3 linked regions of the Cricetulus griseus genome follow. The protein of the gene in region 2 purifies or fractionates together with the protein of the main gene of each other region. This does not show direct contact. Links are inferred from orthologs where the notes say so. Each region holds a gene or a part of one and is shown on either strand. Other genes may lie near its edges. The genes, in order: heat shock protein HSP 90-beta, Hck and Cdc37.

The links.
Region 1: the proteins of Hck (region 2) and heat shock protein HSP 90-beta purify together in Homo sapiens (affinity purification with mass spectrometry; 3 studies listed by BioGRID and IntAct, with this or other methods). This does not show direct contact. The link is inferred for Cricetulus griseus from reciprocal best matches to the Homo sapiens genes HCK and HSP90AB1.
Region 3: the proteins of Hck (region 2) and Cdc37 purify together in Homo sapiens (affinity purification with mass spectrometry; 3 studies listed by BioGRID and IntAct, with this or other methods). This does not show direct contact. The link is inferred for Cricetulus griseus from reciprocal best matches to the Homo sapiens genes HCK and CDC37.

What each region holds. Positions count from the first base shown.
Region 1 is NW_023276807.1:31,882,674-31,892,973, forward strand, and holds heat shock protein HSP 90-beta, read right to left. Parts: upstream 8,818-10,300; 5' UTR 8,679-8,817; intron 7,444-8,678; coding exon 7,297-7,443; intron 7,181-7,296; coding exon 6,974-7,180; intron 6,749-6,973; coding exon 6,589-6,748; intron 6,184-6,588; coding exon 6,050-6,183; intron 5,968-6,049; coding exon 5,659-5,967; intron 5,332-5,658; coding exon 5,166-5,331; intron 5,011-5,165; coding exon 4,820-5,010; intron 4,728-4,819; coding exon 4,580-4,727; intron 4,463-4,579; coding exon 4,194-4,462; intron 3,886-4,193; coding exon 3,552-3,885; intron 3,445-3,551; coding exon 3,335-3,444; 3' UTR 3,089-3,334; downstream 1-3,088. Other genes in the region: Slc35b2 (adenosine 3'-phospho 5'-phosphosulfate transporter 1), read left to right, coding at 135-289, 1,590-2,525. UniProt on the Homo sapiens protein: Molecular chaperone that promotes the maturation, structural maintenance and proper regulation of specific target proteins involved for instance in cell cycle control and signal transduction. Undergoes a functional cycle linked to its ATPase activity.
Region 2 is NC_048599.1:26,863,430-26,874,000, forward strand, and holds part of Hck (tyrosine-protein kinase HCK), read right to left. Parts: intron 7,421-10,571; coding exon 7,267-7,420; intron 315-7,266; coding exon 183-314; intron 1-182. UniProt on the Homo sapiens protein: Non-receptor tyrosine-protein kinase found in hematopoietic cells that transmits signals from cell surface receptors and plays an important role in the regulation of innate immune responses, including neutrophil, monocyte, macrophage and mast cell functions, phagocytosis, cell survival and proliferation, cell adhesion and migration.
Region 3 is NC_048597.1:134,004,697-134,016,040, forward strand, and holds the start of Cdc37 (hsp90 co-chaperone Cdc37), read right to left. Parts: upstream 5,122-11,344; 5' UTR 5,010-5,121; coding exon 4,908-5,009; intron 1-4,907. UniProt on the Homo sapiens protein: Co-chaperone that binds to numerous kinases and promotes their interaction with the Hsp90 complex, resulting in stabilization and promotion of their activity. Inhibits HSP90AA1 ATPase activity.

The sequences.
Region 1 (10,300 bases), on a different chromosome or scaffold from region 2:
GGTGTTGGTAGATACTCAAAGCTGAACGTTACTTGGGAAGGGAGGGAAGCCAGTGGGTCAGACGGGGTGGTGAGGGGGTGTGGGCTGGCTGCTCTAGAGAAGTTGTGGAGCTTGACCTTGTGTGTCTTCTAAAGGCAGGGGTCTCTGCTTTCCCCTGGTGAAGGCCTGTGTGTTTGGCAATGAGCCCAAGGCCTCTGATGAGGTTCCACTGGCTCCCCGGACAGAGACAGCAGACAGTAGTCCCTCTTGGCAGGTCCTGAAGCTGATCTTCTGTGCCTCGGGGCTCCAGGTAAGTAGACAGGCTCCCCTTCTCTTCCCAGGTTGGGTACAGACAGCCAGGGACTTAATGGAAGCCAAAGTTGTCCTGCCCATACCAAAGGTTTGTTGATTTAGGTATGGTTTATGTCCCTGGAGGACAGTCCCTCCCTGAAAGTGTTGAAGGAAATGCTACTCTCTTCCTCTTATCCTTTCCTCCTTCAACACCTTCCCAAAAGTTCACCATACAATCTGTAATGATGTCTAGTGTGGAAGAGGGCCTGTCTTTTCTGTATTTTTGTTCTGTGCTCTTTTACTGCTCTGTGTACTGTGTCTAATGTATGAGCTCACTTACAAAATTTTTGGGAAAGCCAAGCAAGGTGGCGCAAGCTGTCAACCCACCTGTTTGGAAACTAAAGCAAAAGAATTGAAAATTCAAGGCCTGCGCCTGGTAGTGGTGGCACATGCCTTTAATCCAGCACTCTGGAGGCTGGAGAATCTCTCTGAGTTCGAGGTCAGCCTGGTCTCCAGAGCAAGTCCCAGGACAGCCAGAGCTACACAGACACACCCTATCTTGAAAAGCCAAAAAATAAAAACTAAAATAAAATAGAAGAAAAAAATCCAAGGCCTGCCTGAGCAATTTAGTGTGAGATTCTGTTAAAACATAAAATAAACCAAGTGTTGAGGTATGTCTGTCCCAGCATGTAGGAGGCAGAGTGGGTGGATCTCTGGAGTTGGAGATCATCTTGGTTTACATGTCAAGTTCTAGTATAACTAGAGCTGCATAGCAAGACCCTGTCTCAAAATAATAAAATACTGTGGGAGGGGCTCTAGGGATATAACCCATTAGTAGAGTAGTTGCCTACCAAGTACAGTCGATTCCCCAGGACCACACACACACAAAACTTGAGGCAGCCATTCCGCCTTTGTGAGTAGGGTGCTGTCACAGGCCATGGTTTGGAGTGGATGCCAACCTACTTAGATATATGTCAAAGGGAAAGTGGCCAGCCTTCTCTGAGGCTTCCAAACATTCCAGTTTATTTTGAATTGGTTCAAAATAAATAAGACTATATGGTATATGGAGCCAGCTCTAATGAACTTGTGCTAAGAAGATGGACAGGGTGTGATCCTAAAACAGGTGTCACTGTGTTTGCAACTCCATGTGATTCTCTACAAGATGAATTAAATCTTAGGAAAGAAGCCTCTACTAGAGAGGAACCAGAAAGGATGGTGTTGTTACATCGTATACAATCATCCCAAGGAGGAGAGAAAAGTGAGACTTCCACCTTCTTTTCTTGTTTACCATTACCATTCTTCCCCCTTCCTCCTCCCAGGTGTCCTATCTGACTTGGGGTGTACTGCAGGAAAGAGTGATGACCGGCAGCTATGGGGCCACCGCCACATCACCAGGCGAGCACTTCATGGACTCACAGTTCCTGGTGCTAATGAACCGTGTGCTGGCACTGATCGTGGCAGGTCTCTACTGTGTCCTACGCAAACAACCCCGTCATGGGGCACCCATGTACCGGTACTCTTTTGCCAGTCTGTCTAACGTGCTTAGCAGCTGGTGCCAATACGAAGCGCTTAAATTTGTCAGCTTCCCTACCCAAGTGCTGGCCAAGGCCTCCAAGGTGATTCCTGTCATGATGATGGGAAAGCTGGTGTCTAGACGAAGCTATGAACACTGGGAATACCTGACTGCCGGCCTCATCTCCATTGGAGTTAGCATGTTTCTGCTGTCTAGTGGACCAGAGCCCCGAAGCTCTCCAGCCACCACACTCTCAGGCTTGATTCTACTGGCAGGCTACATTGCTTTTGACAGCTTCACCTCAAACTGGCAGGATGCCCTGTTTGCCTATAAGATGTCATCAGTGCAGATGATGTTTGGGGTCAATTTATTCTCCTGTCTTTTCACAGTAGGCTCACTACTGGAGCAGGGGGCCCTCCTGGAGGGAGCCCGCTTTATGGGACGGCACAGTGAGTTTGCACTTCATGCCCTCCTCCTCTCCATCTGCTCTGCCTTTGGCCAGCTCTTCATCTTCTATACCATTGGACAATTTGGAGCTGCTGTCTTCACCATCATCATGACTCTCCGCCAGGCTATTGCCATCCTTCTCTCCTGCCTCCTCTATGGCCACACTGTCACTGTGGTGGGGGGACTGGGAGTGGCTGTGGTCTTCACTGCCCTCCTACTCAGAGTCTATGCCCGGGGCCGTAAGCAGCGGGGAAAGAAGGTTGTACCAACTGAGCCCCCAGTGCAGAAGGTATGAGGACTAAGGACCCTCACTCTGGTTTTCTGTAGCTTATCAGAGGCGCTGACTCAAGGGCAAAATTATTTTCAACATCTCAGTGTACAGCAGAGGATTGGAGCCCTGGAGGCAGCCTCTTTTGCCTTAAGAGCCCCACCTACTTACTTGGTAGTTGTGGGTCTGAGTTATGGAGATAATCCAGATAGAGCTCCTCCCCACAACCTGAGACCTTGGTTTAGCTGGTAGAACTGTAAACCAGCACCTAGCCTTTGCTTGTTTTTCCTTTAACACCCAACCCGCAAGACTGCCAGACATAGCTGGTCAAGAGCAGCACAAAGTTTACAGGTCCTAATGTGGTTGGGGGGTAGGGGGGCACACTAGTGAAAATGGTGCTGTGCCAAACAAAGCCCTGCCCAGCCCCTTTGGGGCCTTTGTGTTCCTTGCTCAAGTTTTGCTACTTGGGAATGTCACCTTTTGCTCTTATTTGATTAAAACTGCAGCAGTGACTTGGCCGTGTGTTGGTTGGTTGAAAGGGGAACTACCTCCCATCCTGAGTGGTACTTTACAAGGAGAATAGTACTATATGAAACTGCATTTTCTTTATTTTCACATACTTTTAATTTCAGAACAAAATAAAACAAACAAAACCACAATACACAATACCCAACCCTGCTATTCTGTGGGAGGGGACTTTCCTGCCTTAAGGCACAAGGACAGGATAAAGAGATCCTCTAGCTTGAACAGAGAGCCAGGTAGGTTGGGGCCAGCCAAGGCATGGGGGGTGGGGCTCAGGGAAACTATACAGAGGACATGGTCTTCCCAGGGGATCTCTAATCTACTTCTTCCATGCGGGAGGCATCCTCATCACCCTCGAGTGGGGGGATCTCATCAGGAACAGCAGCACTGGGCTCCTCTGCTGTCACCTCATCTTCATCGATACCTAGAAAAAGAAAAATAAATCTTGAGCAAAATGGTAGTACTAAGTCTGTGCGGGGATCCAGCCAGTCCAACAACTTGCCACCTATGTGGCTCACAAGGCTGACTCACCCAGGCCTAGTTTGATCATGCGGTAGATGCGGTTGGAGTGGGTTTGGGGATCCTCAAGTGAGAAACCAGAGGAGAGCAGAGCAGTCTCAAACAGCAGCACCACCAGATCCTTGACAGCTTTGTCGTTTTTATCTGCCTCAGCCTTCTGCCTCAGAGTCTCCACGATGGGGTGGTCAGGGTTGATCTCTAGGTGCTTTTTGGCCATCATGTAGCCCATGGTAGAGTTGTCTCTGAGTGCCTGGGCCTTCATGATCCGCTCCATGTTGGCTGTCCAGCCATAGGTGCTTGTCACAATGCAGCAGGGTGAAGACACTAGCCTATTGGAGATGGTCACCTGTGGACAACCAAATGGTCAGTCACAAGATGTAGCCTTGGCTGTCCTGACACACACTCCATGTGGAGCCACATAAAAAGTTCTTTGTGGAATGACAAAACTTCAGCTGCTACTCTGGATGCTGGGTTAGGGTCAGGGAAACACACAACAAGGCCTTTTCTTGCATGTATGATTTAGATGGTGTAATCACTGTTATATGAAAAAAAGTTCTTACTTCACCAACAGATACAGTATTGCTGGGGGAAGGGCCCCACACTAACTGTACAACAGCATAACATTTCTAGAGGACAAACTTCCAACAAACTTACCTTCTCAACCTTCTTATCCAAGATCTCCTTCATGAGCTTGCAGAGATTCTCAAATTTTGCCTTGCTCTCCTCCATTTTCTTCTTCTCTTCCTCATCTTCTGGCAGCTCCAGGCCTTCCTTAGTCACTGAGACCAGACTCTTTCCATCAAACTCCTTGAGCTGTTGCACGCAGTACTCATCAATAGGCTCAGTCATGTACACCACTTCAAAGCCTCGCTTCCGCACACGCTCCACAAAGGCAGAGTTGGCTACCTGCTCTTTGCTCTCACCTATAGGATTAAAGACTCAGTGACCAAAGGCCTTTATAACTGCAACATGTCCTGTCTTCCCCAATCCCACACCTTCAAGGCAGCTTTGTGCTCAGACCCAAGCTCCCTCCAACATACCAGTGATGTAATAGATGGACTTCTGTGTCTCCTTCATGCGGGACACATATTCTGACAGGGAAGTCATCTCATCTCCAGACTGAGAGGTATGATAGCGCAGCAGCTCAGAGAGACGCCGACGGTTAGTGGAATCTTCATGGATTCCAAGCTTTAAGGGTAGGAAAGAAAAGTCCAAATATGAGCTGAAAAAAATACTTTCAACACAAAGTCATCAGAAGAAAAATCACTTGCTCACTATACCTTTAAGTTCTTGGAGAAGGCCTCGTAGAATTTCTTATAGTTCTCTTTGTCTTCAGCCAGCTCAGAGAAGAGCTCAAGGCACTTCTTCACAATGTTTTTACGGATAACTTTCAGGATCTTGCTCTGTTGGAGCATTTCTCGAGAGATGTTCAGGGGCAGGTCCTCAGAGTCCACCACGCCACGGATAAAGTCTACAATCAACCAGAGCCAAGGAACAGGTGAGGTGGGTCAGACCTGGTCTGGTTATCAGATTTAAGTCACCCAGCCAAGTGAAGGTTTGGGAAGCCAAGGACTGTAATTATCTGGGTTAAAGATAGTCTCAGCTGTATGCTGAAGGTATACTCACTGAGGTACTCGGGGATCAGCTCATCACAGCTGTCCATGATGAACACACGACGGACGTACAGTTTGATATTGTTCTTCTTCTTCTTGTTCTCAAAAAGGTCAAAGGGAGCTCGCCGAGGAATGAAGAGCAATGCTCTGAATTCCAACTGACCCTCTACAGAGAAGTGCTGAAAAACCCAGTAGTACATTTCAGGACAACATCACCTCAAGTCCCAGTATCAGAGATCTATCACTGAAATGCCACACCCCAAAAACCCTACGATGAGAAACTAGCTCAAATACTAAGTAAACCTAGAATACTAGTAGCAAAAAGTATCCCTCCATGGCAGTCATGGCCACCACCAGAAGGTAAAAAAGTGAATTAAACCACTGCCAAGCAAGGCCTGAGTAGTTCCCAGAGACAGTCATGATGTCCAGTTGAACAAGCTGCTTGGTACCACCTCCAGCACATTCTATGTACCCCTCCAATTAACATACCATGTAAGGTTTCTCACCTTGACTGCCAAGTGGTCCTCCCAATCATTGGTGAGGCTCTTATAGAATTCACCATATTCTTCTTGAGTGATGTCATCAGGGTTTCTGGTCCAAATGGGCTTAGTCTTATTCAACTCTTCCTGATCAATGTATTTTTCCTTAATCTTCTTTGTTTTCTTTTTCTTATCTTTGCCACTGTCATCTTCCTCATCTGATCCCACATCTTCAATCTTTGGCTTTTCCTCATCATCCTTATCTTCTTCCTCTTTCTCACCCTTCTCTTCTTCTGCCTCATCATCACTGATCTCCTTCTCTCGTTCCTTCTCCAACTAAATTACCAAATTGGATAATGAGTTGTGGAGAACTTATCACCAGCAAAGACTGCTCAAATACTGCCAAGTCCATACTCACATAGAGGGTGATGGGATAGCCTATGAACTGCGAGTGTTTCTTCACCACTTCCTTGACCCTCCTCTCCTCTAAGTACTCTGTCTGGTCTTCTTTGAGATGAAGGATGACTTTGGTACCCCGGCCAATGGGCTCACCTATAAAAAAGTGAATGATAGAATCAAGACATAGAAAACTACAACTAAGCTGGGCGGTGGGGTGGTGCACGCCTTTAATCCTGGCAGGAGGATCTCTGAGTTCAAGACCAGCCTGGTCTACAAGAGCTAGTTCCAGGACAGCCTCCAAAGCCACAGGAAAAACCCTGTCTCAAAAAACCACAATGAAGAAAAAAAAAACAAACAAAAAAACTACAACCAAAATACTCAACCCCCTGCTCCCCATTTTGACACAGGGCTTCTATGTAGCCCAGGCTGTCCTAAAACAAGAGATCCATCTGCCTCTGCCTCCAAAGTGCTGAGATTAAACAGTGCATGATCAAGACTTTGGACTTTCTATCCTCCAGAGAATTCTACCAAGCATCCAAACGAGGACAGGCAGCTTACCATGGTCTGCACGCACTGTGAAGGATCCACCAGCAGAGGACTCCCAAGCATACTGCTCGTCATCATTGTGCTTTGTGATCACAACCACTTTCTCTGCCACGAGATAGGCAGAGTAGAATCCAACACCAAACTGCCCAATCATGGATATGTCTGCACCAGCCTGCCAAAGGATTTTAAAAGTTAAGAGGTAAGTAAAATGGTTCTGCACAAGTGCTTGCTGAACTCAAGTGTAACTATCAAGTAGTTCAATCCCTGGGACCTACTGGCCAGTAATCCTCTGATCTCCATAGGTTAAAAGCCTACCATATCACTAGTGAAAACAAGTACTGAAAAATTAACAAGTCAAAAGCAGTATTGAGAATGTTGTGGATATAGGGCCACACACCTGGAGAGCCTCCATGAAAGCCTTTGTGCCAGACTTAGCAATGGTTCCCAAGTTATTTATGAGATCAGCTTTGGTCATGCCAATGCCCGTGTCCACCAAAGTCAGCGTGCGCTCCTGAGGGTTGGGGATGATGTCAATCTTCAGCTCTTTGCCGCTGTCCAATTTGGAAGGGTCTGTCAGGCTCTCATAGCGAATCTTGTCCAAGGCCTGTAAATAAACACACAGCCACATTATTCCATTTCTGCAAACATTGTCTTGGCTCTCAACCCACGGCAGACTCCTCTCAATCCCTCACTGGGCTTCTATGAAGCTGTGATACTCACATCAGAAGCATTGGAGATCAATTCTCGAAGGAAAATCTCCTTGTTTGAGTAGAAAGTATTTATGATCAAGGACATGAGCTGGGCGATTTCTGCCTGGAAGGCAAAGGTCTCCACCTCTTCCTCGCCATGGTGCACCTCCTCAGGCATCTAAGAAAGCATTACACATTAATTACTAAAACGATGGATGCACTTTAAACTCCAATTCAAAATGCTTTAAGCTGAGTAGTATCCATTCCCAAGGGATGAGAACCGCCATTTTTAAAAAGACCTTGAAAAGCTACAGTAAGCTGGTAAACCGAAAACGGAAAAAACTCAAAGGATGGATGGTTCTTCAAACAAACGCAGCCAAAACGGTATACTACAGCTCAAACAGGCTCAACCCGACAACATACCTTGTTAAAATTCAAGAAATGATAATTCGTTAGCTACCCGGTGAACATATACAGGAAACCCTTTACAACTTTATTTGGGCAAAAAAGAAACTAACAGAAACAGCAGCCATTTCTATGTGCCGCTCCATCCTAGCAGGAGCAGGGAACCCGAGGCTGCAGTCATGGAGGCACTCAAGGAGCAATTAAACCAGGACAAAGAGGTAAAAGCTCCACCATGACCTCTCTCACTGCGCAGACTTGCATAGCCCTGAACACAAGTAAAATGGTGGCCCGAGCCTTCCAGCGACCCTCGTCACTGCCGGACACGCGTCGGCGGCAGCCATCGGGGAGGGGGCGCCACCGCAACCCTCCCACTGCCCCAGCATCCGGGCACTGGGGCGGGGCACCAGGAGCTTCCAGAACAATCTGAGCTCCAGGGCGGGGAGGAGTAGGGGAGGGGTAGGGGAGGGACCAATGGATCTTCCCGTGCCAGCCCCCTCCGGGTTCCTCCTCCTCCTTCCCCGGAGCGCAGGAAAGATCTGGAAAGGCAAATGGCAGTGCGCTCAAGCGTCCCTGCCACCCCGTGGACGACCCCCACGCCCAAGAACCCCAACCACGTTGGGAAAGGCGTCCAAAGGAGGCGGCCAGGCCAGCCTCACAGGGCCGTGCTGAGTCACGCCGCGGAGCCCGCCACCGCGCGGCCCCTTCGGACCCTGCAGCTGCGCCCGGAAGTGGAGGGCAAACATGGCAGCGTCCCAGGTCGGCGCCTACCACGTGCGGCTGCCTTGCACACAGCTGGGCCGCGCCCCCACCTCACGCGCCGGGGCCCCAACCCGGGGCCCCAAGGAGCCTCGCCGAGCCACCCCGCGGGGCCAGACGCAAGCAGCTCGGGGTACACCAGCCCACAGGCCGCCCGGCTGGGCGGGGACCTTCTAGGACGGATGCGAATGGGGGGGGAGAGCCCGGGGAACGAGCCCCGGGAAGCCGCAGGGCCGGAGGCCGCGGCCTTACCTTGACAGGAAAGCCGAGTAGTAGTACAGGGCCGGGTGGGCTCGGAGCGCGACCGACTCGCACGCGGAGGTTAGTGTGCGCGGGGGTGACTCAAGAGAGCTCCCAGACGCCCCCGACCGCCCTATATAAGGCGAAGCACAGCTCGGCCCCGCCCTTGGATCCCTCCGCCTCAGGGGGCGGGGCCGCCGCCCGCACCTGCCGCCGCCCGCCCACCTTGACGTCATGGTAGCAACTGGGGGCGGGAGGGGGGGCGACCCGGGGCCTGTGCGGCGAGCCGAGGCCTCTCCTGCACGACCAGGACAAGGCCATGGCAAGATGAGGGCCACGGGGTGCGCTTATGCTGCTAGGGATGTGTCCACGCGCGGATATCCCGCCGACTCCCCCAGAAACCTCGAGGCAGGCGCCTCCACCCCCGACTCGCAAGAGCACCGAGATGGCTAACTCGGCTGCCGTTCTCTGAGCCCACCTCCCAGAGTGTTCCCTACATGGAGAGAGCAGGACAGTGGGACATTCGCTGTCCAGCTGGAGGGGGTCCCGATGCCCACCCTCCGGAACGGGGCCGCAGCTGCAGGCGGCGAGCAGCTGCTCGGGCGGGAGGGGCGCGGGCCTGGGCTGCCAGGGACTCTTTGGCGGCGCGCGGCGGAAGGAGCAACGCCGGCGGTACTGCGATTTCTTCCAGCAGTTTCTAGGGCTGTCTCGGCGGTCTCAACCCCTCCCCCCGAGGCTCCACCTCCCCCCGCTGCGGCGGGGGCAGCCGCTCGGCTAGGCGCTACCTACTGCCCGGCTCTTAATGCCGAACTGTGTCCCCCCCCCCAATGCTCCTACTGTGCGCTATGGTTAGACGACCCCGGCCCTGGGAGCCCCACATTGCTGCGGGGGGGGGCGGGGGTGGAACGCGGGATGGCGCCCAGAGAGAGGGATGGCTGACCTGGATCGGTCGCAGGGCACGTGATCTGCGGGGGTGAGTGACTGCGGACACCTTTCTGTGAACAGACCGGGGACCCCACACTGATGGGTGGGACACTCCCCACCCCCCAGCCTCCGAGGTGGCCCACGGACAAGGCGCACGGGGCCGTGCGCCCTCCCTTTGCGAGCACTGCAAGCTGCTTCTCAAGCTGGTTTCCCTTTTTCTAGCACTCTTGCCTCCTGCAGCTCTTTGGACCTAGGGAGAGGGAGATCTCCATCTTATCAGATTAGCGGGAGCTCTAGGCAGCTGCGTGAAGATGCTAGTCACGGGTTGGCCCAGTTCCAGGTGCCAGAACCAAATTGCGCTAGTACCTCCGCCCTGCCTTCCCACTGGGCTGTCTGTCCAGGCCTCGCCTGTCCGTCTAGCCTTGCCATTTTCCAAGGCCGCCTCTGGAAGCGAGTTGGGCTGATGAGCCCACCAGGAGAGAATGGCCACTCCGTGCTCTGTAAATGTTCCTCTCCTTTCTTTGCCGGCTCTGGCCAAGGTCTCCGACGCCACCGCCCACACCTTCCTTCCTAGTGCGTGCATGCAGCCCATCTTCCCCAATGTGCTTTCATTGTTTAGCAGTGGTTGCCTTCCCATTTTCCTTTGCCTCTGTCCGCTTCAGTTCACCTGACCCTGCTGTCTTTATCCTCTCAATTGTATCGGGAGAGAA
Region 2 (10,571 bases):
AGCCAACAAATCCCCTATTGCAGGCTGAGGAATGGTAGATGGTGGTACCTCTGATTGAAATGGGAAAGGTAAAGAGAGATTGGAGGATGATCAAGAGCTGAGTTTAATAGGCATGCTGAGAAGATGGGCCATGGCCAGGTTGGGCTCTAGACACACCCCTAGGCCCACGTCCCTGTGCCTACCTGGGTAAGGGATCCGGCCATAGGTGACAATTTCCATCAGCAGGATACCAAAGGACCAGACGTCTGACTTGATGGTGAAGGAACCAAAGTTGATGGCTTCAGGAGCTGTCCACTTGATGGGGAACTTGGCTCCTGCAGGGTTGGACAGAATCAGAGTGAGTCTGGGGAGCAGTGAGGGCTGGGGCTCTGCTAGGAAGAGAGGAACCAGGACAGGGACACCTGCTGCCCCCTGCAAACAGTGATGTCCTTGCAATGTGCTTCCTACATCCATGGTATCAAGAGATGTCTGTCTTGAGGACAGACAGCTGAAGCGAGGAGGAATGAGCATAGGGATATAATGCAGGCGCTTGCTTTGGGGACCAGGTGCCGCCTCGACACCAGGTGATACCTGGTGAATTATAACTGACAAGTGGGGTCCTGGAGGTCTTTGGGGATGGAGGAGCTTCAGGGTGGCTTGAGTCCAGGTTACAGCTGATACCTCAGCCCACCCCACCCCCAGCCATGGGGTGCAGGAGGGACCTCAGCTGCTGCCTGAGGTTTGCCCTTCACTGGGTGTCCCTTCCCTACCCCTCCCTCCTTCCCCCTAGGATGGGTTTGGTTAGCTGTTTGTGGGTATTTGTCTTCATTCCAGTCTGACTGGTGAACATGGTCTGTCTGTAGCTGCTCCTAGATTTAGGATTATTTTCCGATTAAACCCACAGTAAGGCAAAAACCAGAAGTTAAAAATGCCTTGAACACTTAGCTCACTTAACACTTAGTTCAGCAGCGTCACACCGTGGCTTCTTTGTGTTTCCTCTGGTGACTAAATCAGAGCTGTAGCTCACTGCTCTGACTTAGCATCATGAGGGAAGACAGCAGCATATCACCAGACTGGGAAAGAAACCAATATCCAAATGGTGAGCACACTCACTCACTCACTCACTCACTCACTCACTCTCACTCACTCACTCACTCTCACACTCATTCACTCATTCACTCATTCATTCATTCATTCATTCATTCATTCTTATGAGACAGGCTCTCTTATAGCCTAGGCTGGCCTCGAACTCCTGATCCTTCTGCCTCCACCCCCCTATTTCCCAGATTGGAGCCATGTGCCACCATGCTCACCTTTGCATCATTTCTTCTGAATGCAACTATTTCTGCACCATCACAATGGTGAAAGTCAGTGTTGGAGATTATAGCCCAGCTCTCAATCGCTCTCTGCTGCCATCTGCTGTCCATGCCCCATCATGGCTGGCAGAGATATAGGCTGAATGCTGAGGGGCAGGACCAGCAGCAGGGCTGAGAGGTGGGAAGAGCTAGAGAGCTTCAAGCAGTTCCATTTCAAAGACTTCAGTAGGGCGCTTGGCTTCATGGCCAGAGTGGTCCTATAGGTTGAGAAGCTAGACCACCATCTCTAACGGTTTAATGTCCACAAGGCACACATCACCCTAAGCACCCATGAGCACGGGAGCCTTTCAGAGCTGGACATAACCCTGACTGGCTTCATCACGAAAGCAGCAGCATCAGGGGAAGAAAGCGACTTAACCAGGACCCAGGGAGGGATCTGAGGACGCTTAGCCACAGACTCTTGCTGCAGTCCAAACTGCCGTGTCAACTCTAATGCCTCCTCTTAGGGCTGGCTCCTGCCTGTGGAAAGAGCCAGTGTCACTGCCAACACCAGTGACTAAGGCCTTCCCCCCATGCCACTTTCCACCCTCATGGCTCTGTCACATGACGCTAATTTGAATTAGTGTTCCCAATCTTTGCAACTTCTCTACAGACATATGAGGCAAATGGCCTTTTTGTGGTTCCAATTCAATTAAAAATTAAAGCTGGCTTTGGAGTTGGAGTGTGGTTCTCTTTCTCCTTCTCTAAGCCCACAGATGTTTGTTAAAGGAAAATGCAAAATCCCTGTCTCATGTCAGAAGAGCAACCTCGTATGGGACAGAAGAAAACAAAATGTATGGGACGATTCTATTGCCATTAATGTTATCATCCTTTGGTTTCCATTTGACTCTTGAATACTTTCTTTTAATACTCTTAATTTATAAATATTATTTTAAATTTTATAAGGATATATACATATATATTTAAACTTTGTCATGATATTAATGGTTATACAGAGTATTAACTAATTCTGGAAATAAGCTTTATCTAGCTTCCTGTATGTGATTTTGGGCTTGAGTCTGAAGCAGATAACTAGGAACTAAGTTTGTGTACCCTGGATGTATTTAACAGACTGTGGTCCTCTAACCTCTTGGCAATCTGCTACATATGATTTTTAAAATGTTTACACTTTCTGCAGGGAACCATGACCATTCCTTGGAGACCTTTGAGGTCTCTGAGAAGATGATGGGGGCCCTGCAGTGATGAATCCCCCGAGATTGTGATAATGCCACTAAGCTGACAAACACAACCCAAAGATCAGCTTTGGACTACAAACTGCTCAGGACAGCTTCAAATCAGACAGTTAAGATGGTCCAGTCTCCTAGACTACTCCAGCCAGGACTTCAAGTAAGCACTGACCTTTCCCATCACACCAAGACTGGACAATAGCTAGCTCTCCCAGGACTTGGCCATTATCTCATTTTTCCCAGGGTCCCCTAAAGATGTCTTTGCCACCAGAAAACAGGAAACAATTTTACATGACACCCGGGCTGGAGAGATGGCTCAGTGGTTAAGAGCACTGCTTGTTCTTCATAGGTCCTGAGTTCAATTCTCAGCAACCACATGGTGGCTCACAACCGACTGTAATGAGATCTGGTGCCCTCTTCTGGCCTGAAGGCAACGTGCAGATAGAACACTGTACACATACTAAATCATAATAGATAAATAAATCTTAAAAAAACAGAACATGACACCCAGCTGGGTGGTGGTGGCACACGCTTTTTATCCCAACACTTGGGAGGCAGAGGCAGGCGCATCTCTGTGAGTTCGAGACCAGCCTGGTCTACAAGAGCTAGTTCTAGGACACCCTCCAAAGCCACAGAGAAACTCTATCTCGAAACTGCCCCCCCCAAAAGAACATGACATCCATATTCCCAAGAGGTGGGGGTGTTTTTTGGTTGTTTGGAGGGTTATGGATATTTATCATCATTTAGGGAGGGGTTAGTTGCAAGTTGTTATTGGTCATGGCCAGAGAGGAAACTAAGCAAAGGCGGTCAGATTCAGGGATCTCTTTTTGAAAAGATGAAAAAGGGAGGATATAAGAATGATAGGATAAAAGGGTAGATTATTGAATCTACTTTTAAACTAAAAAGCAACAATTAATCTCAAATATTTTACATTGGTATGGATTTTTGTATATTGATTCAAATTTAAAGTTACTTTTGTTAGAACATACTGTATATATGTTTCTACTATCATTTAAGGGAGTTTTGTATATTGATACAAATTTAAGGTTATTTTTGTTTTAACATACTGTGTATATGTTTACACCCTTGTTTAAGGTATTTTGCCTATGCAGCTCATTTTAAAATGTAAAGTTCTAGTCCTTGAAAGCTATTATTATAAACCATTTAAGATAAACTTGCAGTCATGTTAGGTATGTTTTCAAGGTCAGAGCTATATTTTAGATAAATAGATGGTCTTCATACACTTCAGAGATCTACAGAATACGGCATTTAAGATGTTTTGATAACATAAGGATTTTCATGACAGTGTGATACGTCTGCTTCTGGCAGCACCAATCACTTCAGAGAAGATAATGGGCATCGAAGAACCTCCATATGGAATTTGCTTTCATTTTTGGCAAAGTTAGCCATTGGGCAAGAAATTGCCCTTGCCTCAACTGCTGATAGTATGCTGTCCAAATTGGACAAGCAGGACACAAAGGAAGACAACTGCCAAACTTTGCCAAGACAAAGTAGAGCAGTCTTTCAAAATTCCTGCTTCACAGAAATGTCTGTCAGATATTCTAGGCCTGTACAAAGATGCACACCCAGTGTTGCAGAGGAACCTGGGGTGACTGTCCAGACAGCCAGATGTCTCTGCATTTCTATGGTTTTGGAAGTTGTTTGCTTTGTACTTCCTGCTTACTTGGGTAATATTACACCCTTCTTGGGTCTCTGAGGGGTTGAAGACTAGATATAACATTTTCTTTGTTACCAAATTCAGAAAAGAAACTTAGAAAAGAGATGTAAGGTTTATAAGGTTGAGAGACATAAAAGTTTAAGTTGTTTATCTAAGAAAACGTTTTAAGGTCTAAAAGGATATTTTTAGGATGGTAATAGAAGTTATGACAGAAAGTGGTTTAGGTATAAAACTTAGGATTCAGCAAAATAGGATAGATAACAGAGTAATTTCTCTGAATTTGCTAAATACAAATGGATATTGTAAATGTAATTCTTACCTGATAATTGTTCTTTTTAAAAAAGATTTTATTTACTTATTATGTATACAACATTTTGCTTCCATGTATATCTGCACACCAGAAGAGGGCACCAGATCTCATAACGGATGGTAGTGAGCCACCATGTGGTTGCTGGGAATTGAACTCAGGACCTCTGGAAGAGCAGCCGGTGCTCTTAACCTCTGAGCCTTCTCTCCAGCCCCCCTGATAATTGTTCTTATTGTATATAGTTTTGCTATGTTAGAGTTAAAACTTTTCCTTTTTTAAAGATAATACCTGGTAAATTTTCTTATTGTATATAATTTTACTGTGTTAGAATAAAAAATCTTTACTTTTTATTTAGACAAAAAGGGGGGAATGTTGCAGGATATTTGATTTCACTGTGACACTCTGAGACTATTTAAAGTTGGCCTTGAATCAGAGGGTGGAGTCAATGACTAACTGACTGGAATTAGCCATAGAGATTTTGGAGGACCCAGAATATGATAGAGAGACACAGAAAGGAATAAGGAGGGGCTTAGAAAGATTTCCATGCCCCCCCCCCCTTTTTTTTGATCTGGGAAGTGTGGAGACAGGGTTAGCTGGTCATTCTTCTCTGCTTTCTTGATCTATCAGGTTTTTACCCCAACATCTGACTCCTAAGTTATTAATAATGAACAATTTAGATAAGTGTTTCACGGAACTGGGGTTATAGATGGTTGTAAGTCATCATGTAGGTGCTAGGAACTTAGCCCAGGTTCTCTGCAAAAGCACCAAGAGCTCTCCATCACTGAGCCATCTCTCCAGCCCCTCCTTTCTTTTCGAGAGACAGCGTTTACACGTTACAGGTTGGCTCCAACTCATGTAGATCCCTGAGTGCTGGGATCTACATCCTTAACTCTAAGCCAGCCATTTTCTTTATTGCATACTTTTGTTTTATGTGGTACTAAGACGTGAACTCAGAACCTTGAACATGCTTGGCGGGCACTCTATTATCAAGCAACATCTTCAGCTGCCATCTTTTATATCTAGAGTTTTCTTCATATCTCGCTTATTCTCTACAGACTTAGATTATATAGCCAACTTTTCGTTTTATATTTTTGTACTTAATTTAAACTTTATCCAATCATGACAGAAATCAAATGGTGTGTGTGTGTGTGTGTGTGTGTGTGTGTGTGTGTGTGTGTGTGTTACTTGAGATTGAGTTTAGCACAATGTACATGCTAGCCATGTGCTCTGCCACAGAACTACAGCCCCTTTACTTTTTATTTTGAGACAGGACAGGACCATTAACTTGTCCTGGCAGGCCTTGGACTTGTGATCTCAGTCTCCAGAGTAGCTGGGGTTACAAGCTTATACCTCTAGACTAGGCTAAAGTGTACAGATATTTAAGGTCTAACTTGATGGTCAAAGCTGAGTAGCCCCTGTGATAATCAGATTAAGGCAGAGAACATTTGCAGAAGGCTTTCAGAAGGCTCTTTCCAGCTCCTCCTGGGCAGTATCTCCCCACTCTAGCTAGCCCCTGTTCACAGCTTTGTATGTATAAGTGAATTTTACAGCTTTAATGAGATATAATTTACAGGGCATAAAATCCACACATTTAAAGTGTGTACTCCAGTGACTTTTATAATAGTGGAAGAGTTGTGAATTTTAGACTTTTTCATTACATGTCATCCAGTCCCATCCCTAGCACTCAGAACCCCTTTCTCCCAAGTCCCCCCACCCCCCAGCCCTAGGCAACCACAGTTGTCTTTGTCTCACTTGGGAAGTTCATACCAAGGGTAACAGATATCTGTATCTGTGCCTGGCTTCCCCTTAGCATGTTTCCAAGACCAGTGTATGCCACATCGCATGCCTTTCAACACTCCGTTCCATTTTATCACAAGCATAATTCTGTGCTATGGATACTCCACATTTTCTTCATGTGTTCATCAGCTAATGGGCATCAGTTAGGGTATTTCAGTCTGGGGCTTCACTTTTGCCTATCTGTGGAACCTCCTGGTATCTGCTCTGTTTAGATTTGCCTCTTTCATTTGGATGTCATATCTCCCCTTTAGTTGCAGGTGGCATTGATGTAGTGTGACGGGGATTACACCTATAGCCTTCTGTGTTAGTCTAGCCTCCACCACTGAGTGCCATCTCCAGCCCCTGTATGATACAGTTGATATGCACACCCTGTCTGTGGACACTTAGATTGCTCTGTTTTTGTCTCCTGTGCATAAAGTTACTCTCACCCCTCACTGCTACCTGTACTTGCCGAAGTTGTCATGTCAGTCTGGTCTGAAATGTTCCTCTTCAAGTCTTGTGTGTGTGACATTAACATTGTCATCCTGACAGGATCTAAAATCACCCAGGAGAAGGCCCCCTGGGCATGTCTGTGAGGGACTTCCCGAATAGGGTTAGTTGAGGTGGAAGACCCATCCTGAATGTGGGCGGCTCCATCCCACTGGCTGTGCAGCACATAAAAACGAAAAAGCAAGCTGAACACCAGCATCTGCCTGTCTGTTTCCTGACTGTGGACACAATGTGACCAGTTGTATGCTTTTACTGACCCACCATGATAGGCTGTCCTCTCTATAAGCCAAATTAAATAAAGCCTTCCTTAAGTAGCCTTTGTTGGGTATTTTGTCAGCGAAGGCACTGTGCACAAGGACCCTGTCAAACTTGATGCAAGAGTTAGTCTAGGACAGACCTTAGCTGTTTCCAGTCTCTCTGACAGGTGTCCACGCTCAGATCTCCCAGCCCTTGCAGGAGGGCAGCGTCCCCTACCTTCCCGGGCTGTGTACTCATTGTCCTCGATGATCCGTGCCAGGCCAAAGTCAGCAATCTTACACACCAGGGATGCGGAGACCAAGATGTTGGCAGCCCGGAGGTCTCGGTGGATGTAGTTCCTCTGCTCAATGAAGGCCATGCCCTCCGAAATCTGCACCCGGAAGAGACAGTGTCATCGTCACATACTAAACTCTAGTAAAGAACTCAAGAGAATTCTTTTTTCTAACATAACATTTTTATTGATTATTTGGGGATTTCACATAACGCACCTGATTACACTCACTTCCCCAGTTCTCTCAGGTCCACCCCACCCTGTGACCTCCTCCCAGAAAAAAAGAAAAGGGAAAAAACCCCACAAGTCCATCTTGGGTTGCCTATATACTCACTGTAGCATGATCAAACTCCCAGGCCAGCCCCTTAAAGAAAACTGAGTCCTTCCTCACCCTCACCCCTGCCAGAAGGCATCAACTGGGAAGAGCTACACTTTAGCATTCCTGTCACAGTTTTTAAGAGTTCCTATCAATGACTTCCTGTCTAGACTGTTTCTTTTTGCAGGGAGGGTAGGGTGGGGATGGGGGGAGGTAATCAGAGAAGCCTTCTATGTCCCTCTTTCTCAACTGTGAGTTTGCAGTCATCAATACTACTACAAAAGTAGCTTCCTTGCTTCTTCTTTTTTGTTGTTGTTGTTTGTTGTTGTTGTTGTTGTTGTTGTTGTTTTGGGACAGGGTTTCTCTGTGTAGCTTTGGAGCCTATCCTGGCACTCGCTCTGGAGACCAGGCTGGCCTCCAACTCACAGAGATCTGCCTGCCTCTGCCTCCTGAGTGCTGGGATTAAAGGCAGGTGCCACCAATGCCCGGCTGCCTTGCTTTTTACAGTCAGTGACAACACAGACTTCTGCATGATTTCTGGCGATAGCATGAACCGCAGACATCTATATTGTCTCCAGTGGCAGTACAGACCATGGACATCAACACGACTTCAGGTGACAGCATAGGCCACAGTCATCTACATGGTCTTTGTTGGTAACATAGACCACAGACCTCAATATGTCCTCCAGTAGCAGCACAGCTCTCAGCTGCAGCATGGCCCACAGACATCAACATGGCTTCAAGTGGCAACCAAGACCAAGTGTATCCACTTGTCCTTCTGTGGTAACACAGATCACAGACATCAACATAGCCCTCAGCTGGAGCATGGACCATGGACACCCTCATGGCCCTCAGTGGCAGAACAGACCACAGACATCCACATGGCTTTTGGTGGTAGCAGGACCACAGATATCAACATGGCCTCCAGTGGCGGCACAAACCACAGACATCAACAAGACTGTGGGCATCAACATGGATAGAGTGGCTAGCTACACAGACCACGGATACCAGCATGTCCTCCAGCTGTTAGCATGGACCACAGATACTGACAAGGCCTCCAGGGGCAGCATGGATGATGGGGGTCTTTCCAGGTGGCCCAAAAGCAGAGAATGAGCTGTTCTTAATCTTGGACATCTTATCAGAGCCAGGACGATAGTGCCGTTGGGCAGTGTGTTCTGGAAAGAGTCTGCATAAGCTCCAGGCTGCTGCACACCACCCTGCCAGTCCTACTCAGCAATGACATGCTCCTCTGTCCCATGTCCACTGCAGCCTCCTCCCACATGCCACCAATGTTACATCTCTGTTTCCGCCTCTCTCCATCCTGCACATGCCGCATTGTTCCTCCTCCTTTCCCACCTATCCGTCTCATATTTGTTTGTTGAAGTAGCATTGAAAACCCGCAGTGTGTCACACAGCTCTCCCTCCCTCTCTCTCTCTCTCTCTCTCTCTCTCTTCTCTCTCTCTCTCTCTCTCTCCTCTCTCTCTCTCCTCTCTCTCCCTCTCTCTCCTCCCCCTCTCTCTCTCTCTCTCTCTCTCTCTCTCCCTCTCCCTCTCCCTCTCTCTCTCTCTCTGTCTCTCTCTCTCTCTCTCTCTCACACACACACATACACACACACGCGCGCGCGCAGCTTTACATTCAAATATTCGTTGCAATGGGTCATTAGTTTGGTTCAAGGTTTCTGGTTTCTGAAGCATCATAAATATTGAACCATCACTGAGACTCGTTTTGGATATCTGGCTGTTGCCTAGAGTCAGGGTGATCTTGTGGCTAGGCAGGCATCCAGGGGCAGGATCTGAGAGAGCTCCAGTCCACCGCACACCTCTCTGCTCTCGATGCTGGCAGGTCCGAGGCTCACCGGGCACAATCATTGTGCCTGCAGCCCGCAGGCAGTACTGCGCACCAACACACACTCCTAGCCCACGAGGGTAAGCAGCGGTGGCAGCCCCAGTGGCACTGTCCCCCATTGCTCCCATACCCTTCATCTCTGCATTTTAGTTTCCTCATTCTCCATACGCGGTTCTGCTCTGCCATCTTCCGATTTGGTGAGCCCACTCTTTAAAAACATCTTCCCACAGGATCTGCCTTTTAAAAAGTTGTTCCACAGATACCAAGGCTCTTCAGACTCCTCCCGCACTGACGCATCTCCCCTGTGAGCCTCCATGGGTTTCTCAGGCTCCTTGGAGCTGCTCCATGGTCCTGTATCAGGCTGCTGCCATCTCCGATCAGAGCCATGCTTTAGGTTTTCATCTTTGACGGTTATGGCATGATCCTGGACCTGGGTCTGCAGCACCAGCCCTCCCACATGCTCTAGCAGCTCGTAGATGGAGTAGATGTTGGGGAGGACCGACTGGAAGAGCTAGATCTCAGCTGGGATGGCAGCCGGGCTGGCCAGCCCATGGCATGAGGGCAGTGTGAAGAATTCTTATTCTGGAAGCTTCTGGTAGAAAGATACATGGCTGTGACTTGGAGATTTTCTTGCTTATAAAGGTTAGGACAAAAGAGGTGGAAGATGAATCTTGGTCGTCTAGAAAGCAGCACATACAATTTATAAAACTATCTTGGAGCTATGTGAAGGTAGAATCATCACGATCCACTTTACAGAGATACTTGTCCTGAATATCAGCTTCAAACCAAGCTGACTCTAGAGAGCAAAGACTGAATTATCAGATGAGATTATCCTAGGGAATCCCGGGGTGGCAGAGTCTGATCAGACAGACCAAAGCAGGGCTGGCCCGTAAACTGCAAAGCCTGAAGTGACCAGGTAGCGCACTTGCAAACAATGAACAGCAGAGGGCGTCAAAGGCACTGGAAACAGACCCAACTTTCTGAATGCAATCTCAAGACTGATTTTTGTCTGAAACAGAGGTTGTAGTGGAGTGAGACTGGCTTTGACCTGAAGAGTGTGGAAAATTTATAGGGTATCTTTAAAAGAA
Region 3 (11,344 bases), on a different chromosome or scaffold from region 2:
AAAAGCAAAAAAAAAAAAAAAAAAAAAACCCAAAAAAGTGTGGCTATATAGATGTGTGTGAGTGCAGTACTAGAGGCTGAACTTAGGGTCAAGTACACATCCCCAGCCATTTTATTAACGTTTTGAGAGACAGGTTTTCTCTGCATAGCCTCCGGAGTGCTGGGATTAAAGGCGTGTGCCACTATAACCCAGCTTAATTTATTTTGTTTTGAGAGTGTTTCTATGTGACCTTGAATCTGTGGTAAGACTCCTGCTTCTTTGTCCCTAGGGCTAGAGTGACAGGTGTGCGGCACCATGGCTGGCTTTTCACTTTCAGACACACAGAAAGAGAGACAGAAACACAGAGAGCCGGGCAGCACTCAGGAGGCAGAGGCAGAGGCAGGAGGATCTCAGTGAGTTTGAGGCCAGTCTGGTCTATAGAGTGACTTTCAGGACAGCCAGGACCATCCCACAGAGAAACCCTGTCCAGAAAAAAACAAAACAAAACATACACAGACAAGAAAATACAGACACACCCAAAGCACTAAAGTAAGGACCATAGGAGGTTGGAGACTGTATAGGTGACTACAGTGAGATAGCTCCCAGGGAAGAGCACTGTGCAAGGATAAGCCGAGTTCATATCCCCAGTATTCAACAAAGAATTGTGCTGCCTGCAACCCCAGCACTGTAGGGATCAGACAGGAGGAAGGCTGGGGCTTATTGGCCCCAGCCTAGCTCCAGGTTCAGTGAGACCTGTCAAGGGAACAGGGCAGAGAGAGATGAAGCAGGACCCGACATTCTTCTCTGTCCTCTGCATATGAATCCACACTCATGTGCACACATGACAACAAAAGTCCCCTTCTATGGCAGCCCTGGCCTGTGTCATGTTCTCCCAAGGGCTCTAAGGTCAGCACCTTGCTGGCCCCAGACAGCGACAGGAAGTTGACAGGCTGCTGGCATTCTGGAGGATGGCCACCATCTGAGCAGCTGCCAGGAAGGCTGAAGCTAACAAAAGAAAGGGGGGGGGGCATGGTGCTGAAGATAGATAGTGGCCACCTGCCCGGCCTGGCTTACACCTTTCACATGGAAGGGGCAGCAGCAGGCTGACCCAGGCACAAGTAACAGGACGGTGTAGGGGTTCCTTACAGAAGGGACCCTGAGGTTCTCAGAATTTTGACATTGGAAGGAGCCAGAAGAAATCCCACATAGCACATGTCTGGCCACAGAGCCTAGGAGATAGGGGACTGAGCTTAGTGCCCCACATCTGCTCCACAAGTGGCCTGCTACTGAGCTGCACGGTGTCTCCTTACATTACTGAGGCCACCCTGACCTCACCTACACTGTCTAGGCTGGCCCTGACCTCACCTACACTGTCTAGGCTGGCCCTGACCTCACCTACACTGTCTAGGCTGGCCCTGACCTCACCTACACTGTCTAGGCTGGCCCTGGCCTCACTATAGTGTCTAAGCTGGCCCTGACCTCACTCTACATTGTTGAGAATGGCTCTGAATTTGTGATCTCCTGCCTCAGCTTCCCCAGTAGCTGGAAAAATAGGCCTGCACACTGGGCCAAATTGGGATTTGTGCCACAGTGTGTGTGTGTGTGAGGTGTGGAGGTCACAGAACAACTTGTGTCAGTTTTCTCTGTCATGTGAATAACAGGGATTAAACTTCGGTCATCAGGCTTGGTGACCAGTGCCTTTACCAGCTGAGCTACCTTATAGGGCCCTTGCTGTTTATTTCTAGACAGGGGCTCAAGTAGCTCAGGCTGGCCTCCATTTGCTATGTGGCCAAGGATAGCCTTGAATGACAGCCATGCACTATGGCATCTGGCTTTGAATTTGTTTGGAAACCACAGGCACACTTATAAAGCACTGACAGGAAGTATTACCCCAAGGGAATCAGTTATTAAATATCAGGAAACTTGTACCAACCCTATGGGTCACAGAGATCCTACTCATTCTCAGGAAGACTGAGGCACAGAGCAGCCAACCAGAGCCCTGCAAGCCATAGCACATCAGGGAATGTGACCTATCAATCAGGCCTCTCTGTTCAGAGCTTATGAGTCCAGCCCAATCACAGATGGATGCACAAGAGGCAAGGTTGGAATGTCCACCAGAGCCTGCCTATCCTCCCACATGCTGGGGCAGAAGGCCCCACTTCCCTCCTCAGTATTACAGCCACAGCAGCAAGACAGGAAGCAGGCTCTGTACTAGTAGAGGGGAGGCCTTCCTCCCACCCAGCAGGCCCCAACTGTTTTCCACAAAGTAGGAAGATGAACCTCTTCATAAAACTATTCCTGAGAAGAGTTCACCAACCACAAGGGGGTCTTCAGTGCTGGCAGCTTGCCTGGCAGGCAGTCATCCTAGGAAACTGGAAGGAATGGGTGTGTGAATTGGGTGGAGGACAGACACTAATTTGGGGGAGACAGGGAGGACCTTCTAGGAGCTTCCAGATAAATGAGCAGGAGCTGCCCTCAGGAAGATGGGGTGCAAAATTCCTAACCAGAAAGTACCTGCCCTAAGCTTGAGAGTATAACAAACTCAGGGTCCAATGAGAGGGCTCGGTGGGTAAAGGTCTGCCACCAAGCCTGAAAACCTGAGTTTGATCCCCAGAACCCACATGGCAGGAGAAAACAGATTCCACCAAGTTATCCTCCGTGGACTACACATGTACATTTACACATACAGGAGTGTATACACAAATGAATAAAATACAATTTAAGCACAGGGTATAGCACACAGGTAGGTGGATATAGATGCTGTGATTTGGGAGAGCAGGTTAGACCCTTGTCTCTTTACTGTTGTGCTATGGATGGAGCCCAGGACCTCCTGCATGCCACACAAGAGCTCTATCACTAAACCACATCTCCAGACCACCCTTAGATCTTGGTAGTACACTACTGTCCCGTGGTCAATGCCGGGCAGAAGAGGGGTGGAAAACCATGGCTCAAACACACGGGATTCTAAGGTCTGAATCTGGGGGACTCTGTTCTGGACAGATGTAAAAAAATGTGTAGGATTTTATTTTATTTGCTTGGGTGTTGACAGGATCCCATGTGGTCCATGCCAGCCTCAAGCTTACTATGTGGCTGAAGGCTTTGAACTTCTGACTTTCCTGTTCCCATCTCCACAGTGCTGGGACTACAGGCCTGTCCCACCATGGCTAGCTTTTAAGCACTGCTGGAGACACAGTGCAAGGCAATGACACACAACTGAGCACCAGCCTATTTGGTTTTTGAGACAGTGTTTCATGTAGTTCAAGCTGGCCTAGAATTTAACATGTAGCAAGGATTGACTGAATTTCTCATCCTCCTACTTCTACCTCCCAAGACCTGAGTTTAAAGGTATGTGGCATCATGCTCAGGAAGTAAGGTGATGTTGGGATAAGATCCAGGAGATTCCCCCAGTTAAGTAGGATGATTTGAACACTGCAGAGAAGCCAAGGAGGCTGCAGGGGAAAGGGTGGGAAGGATAGAATAGGTTTGGGGTTCTGAGCTCAGGTTTGGTGAGTTTCTTTCTTTCTGTTTTTTGTTTGTTTGTTTTTCAAGTCAGGGTTTCTCTGTGTAGTCCTGGCTGTCCTGGAATTCTCTCTGTAAACAAGGCTGACCTGGAACTCACAGGCCTGCCTGTGCCTCCCTAGTGCTGGGATTAAAGGCGTGTACCACCACTGCCCGGCTCCTATTTTGGTGAGTATTCAATGATGGCCAAAGTTCATACAGGAGCCAGGGACAGGATGGGGGTCTACTTACTATAAAGGAGCAGGCAGAGGTTCTGGACGGAAGTTAAGTGGGTAGGGTTTCCTGGAATAAGGGGAAAAGCGTCTACAGGAGGCAAGAGTAAGGGAAGCCACAGGGCAGCAGTGGAGCTGGAGGCCACATGGAGAGAAGTCCTAGGTGGGACTGAAGTCCCCAGTGGGATTCTGGTCTGTACTCCAGGGAAAGGGACCCTGGGTTGTGGAATCCCAGCGGAAAGCTAAGATCGGGAAATTAAGTGTAAGACACAGTTCTCATTCAGTTTGGGAGTTGGGGGCAGGGTATCTCTGGGCCTTAATGTAAATTTGTGCTTAAGATCCTGGGAAGTAGATGCCCCAATCAAATCAAAAGTATCGTGGACCCAGACTCCAGGGGCTGAGAAGAGGCAGAAGGGAGGTGTTCAATCAGCAGTGGGCACATGGCTAGAACAAGGGAGAGCCTAACAGAATCTGAGTTCTGGACTCCGAGAAAGAATTCTGAGGAGAAAAAAAGGTTCCATACAGGATGATGGGGACCCCTACTCACAAGGGCCGGCGTTTGGAGAGTCTAGACTCTGATGAAAGTATTAGGAGTTGATAAGAAGATTCAGTGTGTATAGGAGGTGCTTGTGGCAAATTGGGGTGACCTAAGTTCCATGCCCAGTTCCAACGTGGTGAAAGGAGAGGCCTGACTTCTGTTAACTGTCCTTTAATCTACAGATACAAGCTGTGCCACGAGCACACAAGACACACCACTACAAGTAAACTAACAAACAAATGTACAAATAAAATAAAAGAGATAGCAGCGGGGAAAGCCCAGAGATGACCGTGGAGAGTTAGGAAGCCCAGTGATCCTGAAGTCCTGGGATGGAATTTAACAGTCCAGGCCACATGACGGTATACACCTTTAATCCCAGCACTGGGAAGGCAGAGGCAGGCGGATCTCTGTGAGTTAGTGGCCAGCCTGGTCTACATAGCAAGTTCCAGGCCAGGCAAGGCTATAGTGAGATCCTGGTTCGATTTTTTTTAAAAAATAAGAGAGACAGAAAGTTCAGATTGTGGAATAGGAGGCTCCCGATGTCAATAACTGAGTTTCCCCCGACCCGCCCGAACCAGGGCGGCCAGGGTAAGAGGTCAGAACTCTAGAGCGGGGGGTCCCGGGAGTGGGGGGAAGGGGATGCGCGCGCACAGCCCCACCTGGTGCCGCCAGCGGAAGAGGCTGGCCGTGTCGATGTTGGGGTGCGTCTCGTCCTCATCGTCCGACACCTCGATGTGATCCCAAACGCTGTAGTCCACCATCTTCGCCTAGGAGGCCCGGATTGGCTCCCGGCGCTCCACACGGCCGGGCGCTGAACAGGGACCCACAAGGGATAGAGAGTCCGCTCGCGGAGCCCCGCCCCTTCCGCTTCCGCTCACGGCGCCGCGCACGACGGCCCCGCCCCAGCATCCGCGCGTGACGTCACGTCCTTAGCAACGGGACTCGGCGGCACTGACGACCGGAGGTGATTCTTAAAGGGCCAGGCTCACGTTGTTCAGCCTTCTGGGAGTTCCCGCCGAAACCCAACCGAGCATCCCCTGGGGACAAAAAAGGTAGTTGCCTAGGGGTTGTCGGCCCACGGTAGTCCCAGCACTTGGAAAGCAAAGTCAGGCCACTCTCAGCGAGTTCTAGGCAGGCCTGATCGACACAGTTCCAGGCCAGCCAGGGCTCCGCAGTGAGATTCTGTCTCAAAAAAATCAAAATTGAGCCGGGCGTTGGTGGCGCACGCCTTTAATCCCAGCACTCGGGAGACAGAAGCAGGCGGATCTCTGTGAGTTTGAGGCCAGCCTGGTCTACAAGAGCGAGTGCCAGGACAGGCTCCAAAGCCACAGAGAAACTCTGTCTCGAAAAACCAAAAAGAAACGCCTTATATCCCAACACTCAGGAGGCAGAGGCAGGTCTATAAATCGAGTGCCAGGACTGTTACACAGAGAAACCCTGTATTGAAAAACAAAACAAACAGAAAAGAGTGAAATTTTGCGGTTTTTTTTAGGGGTGGGGTGGGAGTTGAGACAGGGTTTCAACAGCTGCAACAGCTCTGGCTGTTCTGTAACTAGCTCTGTAGTCCAGGCTGGCCTGGAATGAGTTGAGATCCACCTGCCTCTGCCCCCACCAGTACTGGGATTAAAGGCGAGCACCACCAGTGCCCGACAGATTTTTACTTTTCTTAAGATTTATTTACTTACTTATTGTGTTTACAACATTCTGCCTGCTTGTATGCCTGCACAGCAGAAGAGAGCACCAGATCTCATTACAGATGGTTGTGAGCCACCATGTGGTTGCTGGGAATTGAACTCAGGACCTCTGGAAGAGTAGTTAGTGTTCTTAACCTCTGAGCCATCTCTCCAGCCCCGATTTTTACTCTTAAAAAAAATTTTTTTTTTCAAGACAGGGTCTCACTATGTAGCCCTGGCTGTCCTCGAACTCACTATGTAGACTGAGCTGGCCTTGAACTCACAGATCTCCTTGCTTCTGCCTCCCAATGCTGGTATTGAAATCATGCTCCACTACACTGGGTCTGCCCTTAAAATTTATTTTTTTAAATTACATTTCAGGGGCTGAAGAGATGGCTTAGCAGTTAAGAGCATTGGCTGCTGTTCCAGATGACACAGGTTCAATTTCCAACACCCACATAGCAGTCCATAACTGTCTGTAACTCCAGCTCCAGATGTTTTATTTTATTTTTTGGTTTTTTGAGACAGGGTTTCTCTGTGGCTTTGGAGGCTGTCCTGGAACTAGCTCTTGTAGACCAGGCTGGTCTTGAACTCACAGAGATCTGCCTGCCTCTGCCTTCCTGAGTGCTGGGATTAAAGGGGTGCGCCACCAACGCCCGGCCATTTTTTTGAATAATCAGTTTTATGAAATTAATTGTGTGTGTGTGTGTGTGTGTGTGTGTGTGTGTGTGTGTGTGTGTACATGTGAATATCAGGACAACTTGCTGGAGTTAGTTCTCTTTTTCCACCACGTGGGTCCCCCGTATCAAATTTAGTGGCAAGCGCCTTTATCAACTGAGCTCTCTCTCTGACCCCAGTCCTTTAAAAAAAAAAAAAAAAAAGTGTGTGTGTGTGTGTGTGTGTGTGTGTGTATACCAGGCTGCACATGTGACAATCATAATTTGCTGTAATTGGTTGTCTCCTTTTACCTATGGGTCCTGGGATCAAACTTTGGTCATCCAGGTTTTGCGGCAAACATCTCAGCTCCAGTACTTAAAAAATATATATAATATTATATATTATATTTATTATAATATATATTAAATATATATTATATTAAAATATTATATTTGTATTTATTGGCCAGGCAGTAGTGGCTCACGCCTTTAATCCTAGCATTCAGGAGGCAGAGGCAGACAGATCTCTGTGAGTTTGAAGATAACCTAGTCTACCTAGTGAGTACCAGAACAGCCAGGGCTATGTAGACTGAATTTATCTCAAAATAAATAAACCAATATTACACTGGTTTATTTATGGGGCAGGCAGCGAGTGCTAGAATGCGCATGTTGAAGCCAGAAATCAACTTTTGTAACTCATTTGTCTTTTTCCATAAGGACGATCCTAGGGCTGAAACTCGTGTCTTCAGGCTTGGTGGCAAGTGTCTTTACCGCTGGAACGCCCGCCCGAAGGCTAAGGCTTGAAGACCTGCCCCTTGACTTAACCCTGCGGTGGGTTTGAAAGAACTTTTGCAGTCCGAGGGTTGGTAAGTGGCCAACGTTACAGCCCTGCCCAGGCTTGGGGATCAGAAAGGATGATAATTGACCCTGTCCGGGGACTTTCATCTCGCACCACTGGTAGGCAGGATCCTCAGCGCCTGCAGCCTTCTGGAATCATCCAGAATCCCCCATCTCAAGTGCCTCCTTGCACAGCCTCTGGGTGTCGCTGATGTCTAAACAACCCCAGCGTTCCCAGCCCTGTGCCCAGGGGAAATTAGAAGGCTCTAGAGAGGCTTCCCCAGCCATCTGGGGCTGCCCACAGCCTCTTCCAGCTCACCTGAGCCCCTGAATTTCGGCTGGGGCTTGGGGGAATCCATTTTTTTCTGAGCTTGAGATACCCAGGTGGTACATACCTCCCCAAGCTTTGATAGAGGATCTAGAAACTGGAGCTGCAGCCTGAGGCCAGGATTATCTCAGTTTAAGGGATGCGTCTTGCGGTGGGGTCAGGGGGAAAGAGGAGTTCTATCCATTTGGCTTGGGGCGGGTTCCTCTTCCCAGCTTTTCGGAAGCTGTTGGAGAAAGGGCTGTCTGGAGCGAATAAAGGTCTGCAAATTGGGGGTGGGGGTGGTGGGCATAAAAGCTCCTTCCCGCCATGGACCCTCCCCTTCTCGCTCACCCGAGGGTGGGCGGGCAGAGCAAGGGGTCTCTGTTCCCTTCCCCTCCTCCCCCAGCTTGGCAGTCCACCTCACCAGCCTCGGTCAACCCCAGCCCGGGCACGCGCACGACGGACCTTACCCGGAGGGGCTCCCTGTACACACCCACACACACCACCAAACAAAGGGTCTGGACACTTGTCCCCTTCCGCTGTCCCGACCCCAGGCCAGAGAGGGAGTGGCTCCTCTCTCCAGCCCCCTTTCCCAGCAAGGTAAATTTGGGGGTTGCGAGCTGTGTTGGGAAGGGAACCCGACTCCTGGGAGGCAGGGCCTTAAGATCATGGGGTTCCCCCAGCTCTCCCACCCTTGGCTTGGTACGTTCTTGTAGGGTCTCCACCCCACCACTCACTCACTCACTCTGTGTGTGTGTGTGTGTGTGTGTGTAACCCTGGCTGTTGAGAATTTTCTGGTAGGTGAGGAGATATTCCCCTCTAGGCTGCCTAATGGCAGAGAGCTGGGATTAGGGCTCCGGGAATCCCCATCATCACCAAGCATTTCCTAATCTTTTACCAGCTGTGTCTAGCCCCTGGGGACAGGGAGAGGCACCCAGGCCCCAAGTACTTACAGCTGTTTCTCTATCTTGCATCCCTGGTAGCCCACCTTCCCCCAGAGAACCCTACAGTAGTGTATCTTGCTTCTGTAGAGTGCAGGGGAGGGGGAATTGAGACTGCTCCGGGGCGGGGCTGAGGCTGGGGTGTTGCCAACACCACTTAACTGCATCCAGATCCCAGATATCCCCGCGGTTCCATTTCTGAGCCTCTGTCTTCATCTGCTTACAGCAGTAACTACAGGCAGAGACTAAGGCAAGCCAGGAGACCAACATGCCTTTATTCCGTGTTGTTTCATTCCTATTCTCCAACTCCATACTGTAAATGTCAGCCACGTTGGTGTTGGCTGGTGTTGCAGCAAAGGGGAGACACTTACAGTTCCCTGCTCCTAGTTGTCCAGGGAGCAAGATCCACATATAAATAAGTCTTTGCATGTAAACTTACCGTCACGATGGAAATTCTGCCAGGAATGGAGGTGTTGAATGCCTGACCTTGAAGCACTTGGCAGGTAGAGGCAGGAAGGTGGATCAAGGCTGACAGTGGCTACAAGGGGTTTGAAGACTGTCTAGGTTTCAAGAGATCCTGTCTCAGAAAACAAAAGTCTGTCCTGGAATGGTAACTCTCACCTTTAATCCCAGCACACTGGAGACAGAGGCAGAGGCAGAGTGATTGTTGTGAATTCCAAGTAAGCCTTAGCTACAGGATGAGTTCCAGGACAGCCAGGAACACACAGTGAGACCCTGAAAAAGAATCCTAAGTGAAGGAAACTAAAATTCAGCCTATATTCAGATAATTGGGCAACAGGAAAGAGTGCTGTCATGAACTAATTAGTCACTCTTCCCCCCCCCCCTTTTTTTTCTTTTTGAGACAGGGTTTCACACAGCCCAGGCTGGCCTTAGACCCCTGATCCTCCTGCCTTTAACCCCCAGCTGCTGAGATGATAGGTGCTAGCCATCCTGCCTTGCTCTCTTACCTAGGAGTTGAACATCATTTTTATAAAAATGAGGAAGGGGGGCTGGAGAGATGGTTCAGCAGGTAAGAGCACTGGTTGCTCTTCCAGGGGACTGCATTCAATTCCCAGCAACCACATGGTGGCTCACAACCATCTGTAATGAGATCTGGTGCCCTCTGGCCTGCAGGGATACATGGCATGCAGAACACTGTATACATAATAAATTTAAAAAAAAAAGTGAGGAAGGGGTCAACCAGATGGCTTAGTGAGTAAAGGGGCTTGCTATCAAGTTTGAAGATCTGAGTTCTGTCTCCAGGACCACATGGTGGAGAGAGAACTGACTCCTGTCTTTGAGCTCCACGTGTACACTGATGGCAAAGTGTTTACACATAGCCATCTTTCCCTTCCCCACATAAATAAAGAAATGCAATTTCTTTCTTTCTTCCTTTTTTTTTTTTTTTTTTTTTTTTTGAGACAAGGTTTCTTTGTGTAGCCTTGGCTGTCACAGAGATCCACCACCTGCCTCTGCCTCTGGGATTTAAAGGTGTGCACCACCAAAGACCAGTGTTCTCCACTTGAAAAAGTGGAGAAAAATAAAGTAGAAAAAAAAGTGAGGAAGGAGCCAGGCACAATGGTGCATGCCCAGTGCCTGTACTCTGGAGGTCATAACGAAAGGACTAGATTTACAGGCCAGTGTGGGCCAAGTAGTGAGAAGATCTCTGAAACAAACAAACGAATAACAAAGACCAAAGGAATGGTTTTGGACAGTTACTAAGGGGTCCTGTAGAGATCCAACTGAACACAGGACCTGGTGGACGGAGGGGACAGGAGGAGGATCCATGGTTCCAGGACATTGAGGGCTACATAGTGAGACCTGTCTAAAAACAACTCGCTCCATTAAAAAGCTGGTGCCATGAGCCGGGGGTTGGTGACGTACACCTTTTATCCCAGCACTCGGGAGGCAGAGACAGGCCTCTGTGAGTTCGAGGCCAGCCTGGTCTTCAAAGAATTCCAGGGCAGTCTCCAAACTTACAGAGAAATCCTGTCTTGGAAACAACAACAACAACAACAAAACAAAGCTGGTGTCTTGAGAGACAGATAGGTAGACGTTTCTATTTGGATACCCAGGGAGGAGAATTTCTCTGCTAACAAGTAGGCTGTCTAACCCAGGCAAAGCTAGTCACTACTGAACAGATATGTAGTAGAGACAGATTCTGATGTGGTCCCGGGTAATGAGAGACTAGAGACTACAGGGATTTGAACTCAGAACCTATTTAGCTTCTCTGCAGTTTTGAGACTGGAATCCAGGGCTTTGGGGATGCAAGTGCTCTGCCATTCAGCCCTGCCCCAACCCAGAACCTACATACTAATTATACATAATAGTATTTTTTTATACATGCACATAATGCATTTGATCAGTTACCCTTTCTTGATTTCCTGCTCCCACTGACCCCTTCTACTTTCTTTTTTTTTTTTTTTTTTTTTTTTTTTGGTTTTTTGAGACAGGGTTTCTCTGTGGCTTTGGAGGCTGTCCTGGAACTAGCTCTTGTAGACCAGACTTGTCTTGAACTCACAGAGATCCGCCTGCCTCTGCCTCCTGAGTGCTGGGATTAAAGGCGTGTGCCACTAACGCCCGGCAGACCCCTTCTACTTTCAAGTCTTGTTTTCCAATGAATTGTAGTTGCTTAAAGGAGTATGGGCACCTACTGGCAGTGACACCACTGAAAAAAATCTC